Coturnix japonica: one gene and its partner. Each later gene encodes a partner of the first gene's protein in a complex. Links are inferred from orthologs where the notes say so. Each region holds a gene or a part of one and is shown in the gene's direction. Other genes may lie near its edges.

The links. The genes of interacting proteins can lie anywhere in the genome.
Region 2: SMARCC1 (region 1) and DPF3 share a complex: the UniProt entries of both Homo sapiens proteins name them as parts of the BAF complex. The link is inferred for Coturnix japonica from reciprocal best matches to the Homo sapiens genes SMARCC1 and DPF3.

The regions. Positions count from the first base shown.
Region 1 is NC_029517.1:713,247-716,897, forward strand, and holds part of SMARCC1 (SWI/SNF complex subunit SMARCC1), read left to right. Parts: intron 1-1,422; coding exon 1,423-1,548; intron 1,549-2,184; coding exon 2,185-2,303; intron 2,304-3,443; coding exon 3,444-3,568; intron 3,569-3,651. UniProt on the Homo sapiens protein: Involved in transcriptional activation and repression of select genes by chromatin remodeling (alteration of DNA-nucleosome topology).
Region 2 is NC_029520.1:23,822,798-23,826,448, forward strand, and holds part of DPF3 (zinc finger protein DPF3), read left to right. Parts: intron 1-3,003; coding exon 3,004-3,111; intron 3,112-3,651. UniProt on the Homo sapiens protein: Belongs to the neuron-specific chromatin remodeling complex (nBAF complex).

The DNA.
Region 1 (3,651 bases):
AGTAAATACTACTTAGCGTCCTATTATTGGACTTACTCTTTTATGCATCACATGCAGTGTTGTTCTGTATCTGTGCTGTTAATGTGAATAGCAGAGTTAGGAAAGGGCAGCTCAGGTCAGAAAATAACTCCATGTGATGCCTGTTCAGACACTCCCTATTCCAAACTGCTGCTTGTAAGTAAATGGGACTTAAGCTTTTTGTGTATAAATCAATCTGTGTCATACTTGCTGGATTCTGGGAGGAATTTCGGTGTCTGAAGTGTGCTTTTAATGCAGAGCCATTGCCCCAGCTGTGAGAGCTGACCTCACACTTGAGATGACTTAAAATGACAGAGGAGCAGACATGGCATTCAGCAGGCTTACAGCACGTCCAGCCTGTATAGCATGGCCTCATGGAACTGTCACTTCATATGTATAAAAGTCCTGTGAGATGTGTAACTTCAGATCCTAATAGCAAGGTCTGTTGACAAGAGACTACTTGCAAAAAGCACCATGTCAGTATGTTCCTAGAACCATCATAGAATGAAAGGCTGCCTTGGGTTGGAAGGGACATCAAGAATCACCAAGGTCCAACCCCCTGCTGCAGGCAGGGCTGCAAGCACTGCATCAAGTATTGGATTAGACTGTCCAGGGCCCCATCCAGCCTGGCCTTCAACACCTCCATGGATGGATGGGGCATCCACAGCCCCTCTGGGCAGCTGTTCCAGCACCTCCCCACTCTGTCTGTGGAAAAACTTCTCCCTGACGACTAATCTAAATCTTCTCTGGTTTAAAACCATTCCCCATTGTCTTGTCACTATTTATGCTTGCAAAAAGTTGGTTTCCCTCCTTCTCATAACCTCCCTTTAAATACTGGCAGGCTGCACTGAGCTCACCCCGCAGCCTTCCCTTCTCTTCTCCATGCTGAACAAGCCCAGCTCCCTCAGCCTGTCTTTGTCGTGGAGGTGCTGCAGCCTCTGAGCATCTTTGTGGCCTCCTCTGGACCCTCTCCAACAGCTCCCTGTCTTTCCTGTATTGGGGGCCCCAGCTCTGGACGCAGCACTGCAGATGGGGCCTCCCGAGAGCAGAGCAGAGAGGGACGATCCTTTCCCTGTCCCTGCTGGCCACCCCTCTGCTGATGGAGCCCAGGATCCCATTTACTTTCCAAGCTACAAGCACACACTGCTGGCTCGTGGTCAGTTTTTCACCCTCAGGACCCCCAGGTCCTTCTCAGCTGGGCTGCTCTCAAGGAGCTCTTCTCGCAGTCTGTGTCTGTGACTCCTCAGACCCATGCATAACACCTTGCACTTTGCTGTGTCGATCCTCGTTAGGTTCACATGGGCCCACCTTTGGAGTTTGTTAAGGTCCCTCTGCATGGCATCCCTTCATTCTGCTGTATCAACCGCACCACTCAGCCTGGCGTCCCTCATTTCTGTTCTTTAGGTTCATGCCAAGTGGATTTTGGACACAGATATATTCAACGAATGGATGAATGAAGAGGATTATGAGGTGGATGAGAACAGGAAATCTGTGAGTTTTCGGCAGAGAATCTCCATGAAGAATGAAGAGGTAGGTGGCTCTCAGCTCCCTGTGTGACCTGGTGGTGTGTTAATATTCCCTCTCTCTGCAAAAGCCACTGCAATTCAATCAAGCTGGATGCATTCAGGCACCTGTGGTAGTACAGCTTAGTTTGGATTCCCCCTGATGTGCCATTTATCCAAAACTGTTGTTCCCTTTTATTATTCCTATGTCCCTTCCCAAAGGTGACAATAGAAGTGACTCGCTTTGTACTTTCTTTAAATGAAAGCAGGGGTGCGTTGGACGGCATCCATTCATTTCCACATACCCTCATTTCATGTTCTTCCTGATGCTGAAGGTTTGATAGAGCTCTGAGAGTGTTCATTTAACCTCGAGGTCAGGAGAACCTTCCTGACAGGTAGAGTACATTGAGTGTATCATGTATTAGCTGCTGAGTCCTGCTCGAGGCGCACAGTTACGTAGGCAGCTCCTGCAATATCCAGGGGATGGTTATAAAAAAACTTATATTATTTCACCTTGACAAACGTGTGTTTGGAGCTGAGGATGGCCTTCACTGCAATGCTGCTTTCAGCTCCTTTGTTGTAAGGTGTAATAAGGAAGACTAGCCTGCAGCATTTCAATAACTGTGGTACTGGGGATGAGCTGACGCCTTCGTTTCTCTTGCAGCCTGTGCGCAGTCCTGAGAGGAGGGACAGGAAAGCAGCAGCCAGCACACGGAAGAGGAAGCATTCTCCTTCTCCACCCCCCACTCCTGTGGAGTCAAGAAAAAAATCAGGGAAGAAAGGGTGAGTGTTTCCTTCAGGGAGGCTGGGGCTGATGTTCTTGAAGCTGTGCCTATGGGCAGCCCTGTCTGAGGTTGCTTTTCACACCTGGGGTCAGGGTAGAATCATTATCTCTAGGCCAGGTTTGTGCTGGTCATTTCTTTGCTCCTGTGTGGAAGTGCATTGCCTGTGGGTGGAGGAGAATCTGTGCAGGTCCTGATGTTGTCTTCCTCAGCAGCAGGTCGTGGTGCTGCACTGACTGCAGAACTTAAGGAAAACTTTCTCAGGTGCTTCTAAAGTAGCTGAAGGCAGCTCAAGCAGTGCTACTCGTGTATGTTCTGAAGGGGAGCCACTGGGATCACTGTGTTTAATTGGATGTGGCTCTGGGCAGTCTGGGCTGCTGGTTGGTAACCCTGCACAGAGCAGGGGGTTGAGATGAGATGAGCATTGTGGGCCTGTGCAGCCCAGGCCGTTCTGTGGTTAAAAATGCAGAGCTGCTTTAGCAGTGCTGTGGGGCTCTTAAAACATGAAGTGACAGACAGTGCTGGAAGTCTGCTGTCTGAGATGAGATGGTCAGATAAAGGACTGATCCTTGCTGGTTTTTCCCTGATGTGAAGTCTGGCTTAACTTCTGTAAGCTGGGGCCTGGGTGATTCTACCTTTGTTCCCAGCGGGACTTTATCTGGTTGTGGAAATGACCATAAAGGCAGCTTGTTCCTTAGATGAGGCAGCAGGCCTTGCAATGGTCTGTTGCCTCTTGTGTTCCGTGCAGCAGATGTCCTTATTGCAGCTTGGAAAAGGAGGAGTAGAGGCAAAGCGCTGCTGCCCCAAATCTCATGGGCATGGAGGTGCTGCTGCAGTCAGGATGAGACAGCAGTGTCCTGCAGTCCAGATTCAATGGCAAAAGACCATCCTTTATATGAAACCAAGAGACGGTTCTGAATCGTTAGGCTGCAAAAATGACTCTCTGGTGCCCTTCTAAATGATTGTAGTAATGCACAGGTCCTGGTTTTTGTTAACTCCACAAGCACCGCCTCCTACTGCGCTGTTCTCCCTGAAGAGTTTTAAGCCAGCCCTTTAATCTGCTGTCTGCTGAAGGAGAACATCAAGGTGAATGCATCTGACAGTTGCAGCTGTCGGAGGGTTTGTGTATGATCTCTTTCAGACAAGCAACCATATACGGGAAAAGGAGGGGGCAGAAGGAGGAAGATGAGCAAGAAGATCTTACGAAGGACATGGAGGATCCCACACCGGTCCCTAACATAGAAGAAGTGGTGCTTCCCAAAAATGGTAAATTACAAATAAAAGGCAGTATTGTAAGGATGGTAAAGCAATTGTTTCAGCTGTAGAGAGGAAATATACACGTGTTGTCA
Region 2 (3,651 bases), on another chromosome or scaffold:
CCTTGTTTAGTTTTAGTGTCCTTGTTTTCAGGCTATACACATTGTACTTATGCTCATACTGAACATCTTCAAAAATTTGTTACCAGCACACAAGATGGATACTAAGGTGGCTATGTTCATTGCCATTTACTATCTGTAACCTGAAAAACTGTATAAAGACAAATGGCAAAGATCCAGGAACCATTTTCTTTTACAGAGAGTTTGAAAAACAGAGGAGAGTTGGGATCTCAGTGTATTAACCTGGTTTCTCACTGTCCTCTTTGTTAAGGGAGTCAGAAAACTGCACTTCATGATAAACAGTTCAGGGTTAATTTCACACAATACTGCACATAACTCCCTCCCTCTTCTCTCCTCCTCCCCCAGCCTTTCACAGGAGCTCTGAGTTATGACTCTCCTACACTAATGAGATAAACAACATAACTCACTGCAGGTTCTGCTATTTCCTCTATAAGCAAATGGTTGGAACCTTCTCTGGTTGCCCTATAAGGCCCCAGAGGGAGATGCAGCTCAGCTACGACTAAAGACAAGATGTGCATAAGTGTTATTTCTATATTCCCTGCAAGATCAGCAGTGCCGGGGCTAGATTCTGTTCAGAACAGAGCCTTTTATTATTGCTTCTCCTCTGTGTAAGCAGTTGACGGTCCATGCTTCACGTGAGGCAGTATGGAGACAGATAGGTATCAGGGCAGAGGACTGAAGATGGTATCTGATGAGTTTGAATCAAGATAAAGTTTGATATCTGTCTTAGTTCACTGGATGGCTGTGCATTAATGAGCAAGGATATTGAAAAAAGGAATAGAGAGACTTGAACATCTCCAGAAATTCTCTGCCAGCCTTCTTGGTATTTGTCTTGTATGCCAGATTCACTCTCATTTAGTGTTCCTGACCTGAAATCCTGTCTACAGGCAAATGGAAACAAAAAGCTCCACAACCTTGGGTGTTGGTGTTGGAGGAACTGTAGAGCCTTTCTGCCACCCGGAGTGGGCTGCATTTCCCCTAGGGAGGAGAATTCTCTACTTTCATCTATTCAAAGATACCTGCTGTGTTTCTCATTGGCCTTTCATCATTTGCACTTGGCATTTGTTGTCTCAGCTGAGTCTAGAACTGCCAATTCATATGTGAATTCACAATAATTGAACCCATGTTAACAGATGTTACCCCCAAACTGCAGTGGATCCTTGCTTTTCTCTGTCTGGGACAAATGTTCAAAGCTGTGGTGCCCACTTAATTCAAAGGACTCCTCTCTGGAGGTCTGTGCAATGCAAGGCTCATTCTCTGTCCTGTTTCTTTAGTCTAACAACCCCACTTTTCAATGCTGTGAGCAAATTTTTGAACAGAACCTACTGTGAAAGGGTGGGGCATCTTGCCTCCACCTCTTTAATGACTCACATCAGAGCAGGCACAATCCACACCACCATAATAGCAATTGTTTGCAGTGGTTAATGTTTGCAAAGTGCCACGAAGAAGTGTGTCAAGCACTGTAGAAGTACTGGTTATTCACATTTTATTCTCAAACCAGTCACATGTGCTGCTCACTAAGATGCATCCTTCTTGTGTTGGGCGTAATGCCTAGGAATCTGTGCAGCGACAAAAGGGTGTGGAAAGCCCCAGGCATGCCCTGTGACCCGAGGCAGCCAGGACCTCTGTGAGCATTCATTCCATCTTTTGGCCATACCCAGGCAGTATGATGTAGATGTTCCATTTACGCACCAAGGCCAGGGAGCAGGTGGAAATCGTTGAAGTCTGAACACTGTTGGCATTCCCAACAGCTCAACTATTTCAAGCCAAGAGCTTGTAGAACATGATTAGCCCATTCCCTTGAGGTGAAAAGGTGAATAAATTTGTTGTGTTTCATTGTTTTTGTTTTTTTGTTGTCTGCATTTGGCTCAATGAATCAGTTTTGTTCCTGAGCTTATATGCTCTCCAGGCTGTTTCAGAGGGAATGTCAGAGAGCAAGCATTTCAGCCATCCTGCTGATCTTGAGCTATTTTGCTTTACTCGTGCTGCCTAAATGATGTCCATCTGTTTACTGGTGGTACAATTTCAGATATGGTAATATTACTGCTGTCTTCTTTTCTGTCTTGTTTTCTGGGGGCAGTAGGTTTGGAACTTCAGTTGTGCTCTGTAGCCCCTTCAAGACTAACAGCAGAAGGCAGAAGACTAAAAGCAGAAGTGGCAGACAGATTGGTCAGGGGAATCGGGGGCTAGAACAACATTCTTCCAGCATTTCTGAATCTTGTTGGGTATCAAGGGTAACTGGGGCAGTAACTTGGCAGTGTGCTTTTGTGTTCTTAGTAGCAATGCATTCACAGGGCCCTGCTGCGTCCTGAATACACGAGAACAAAGCATAGCTTGAGCATTGGCTAAGGGATGCCTATCATGAGAGCCAGGGCAGCTCAGAGGCCAGCAGCACCAAATGTGAATCAATGGAGCATGCAGTAATATAAACATTACTGCCATATTTCCTCCCTCATTCAGGACGTGGGCATGAGGGTGTTTTTAAACAGAACTCCAGAATTTAAGTGAAAATACAGAATTCCAATAGCTAGACCTCATGGATTTTTTGTTTGCTTCCACTTAGAAGACATTTTCTGAGGTGGTCTGCATACCAGGGCCTTATGATTTGTGTGTCGGAACTTCATCTCTTCTCTCCCAAGGCGCTTTCTCTGCCCATGGAGGAGACATCACCCCATGACCCAAGAGAGCTTGAAATTCTATTTACCCTGAAGGAATCACAAATTATTTATGTGCAGCTCTGGTTTCAGTGAGCTGAGTGAAGTGTATGAGTGAGACCTAGATTCTCTGTAGGCCTGATCCCTAGAGGTGCCAAGGAACCACCGGAGTGCTGGATGCCTTGAGAGCATAGTTCTGCCTCACAATTTGCAGGATTGAATCCTCTGACAAGAGATGCTGAAAGGACAAGGGAAAAGATGCTAGAGACAGTGCTTTGTGGTTTACAGACTGAAATGTGATTATGTTTTATTTCTTGCCTTTAATTTTCAGGCCTGGCCCCAGGTCAGCTGTACACATACCCGGCACGTTGCTGGCGCAAAAAGAGGCGTTTGCATCCTCCCGAGGATTCCAGGCTGAAGCTGCTGGAAATTAAACCTGGTACGTATTTGTTTGCCTCTCTCTCTCTCCCGTGCTGCAGAGCAGCTGGCATACACGCAAACCTGGCATTTAGATCTTGGGCTCCATCTTTGTCCCTCTCCATCCATTTCTCTTTGCATTTATTGCACCTTAACTTAGTTTGCTGTACCAGTAACCACTAAACTCTGTACTTAACTCACGCCTTGCAGAAATGTGCATGGTTTGTGCTGAAGGAAATGAGCTGATTTTACCTTCCATCGGACTGAATCCTGGGCATCCACAAGTAAATGTATAGGGATGCAAAGGATCAATTTTTTGCTAATTCCTGCCTCAGTGTGTTATTAATCAGTCTTCCTCTGTCATCTGCCACCTAGTCTTTGAGAAGACCACTGTGTGTGAAGAATGTTACACTGAGGAGATTTATCATAAAGGGACCAGGGGTGTGGCCTGAAATCTATTTCCTGAAGCAGGAAATAAAAATTAGCAAATATTTTTATGTGTGAAAATTATGCCACATTTGTATATGTGTGTATGCCTATATGCGTACCTTAGTCTGTTCTT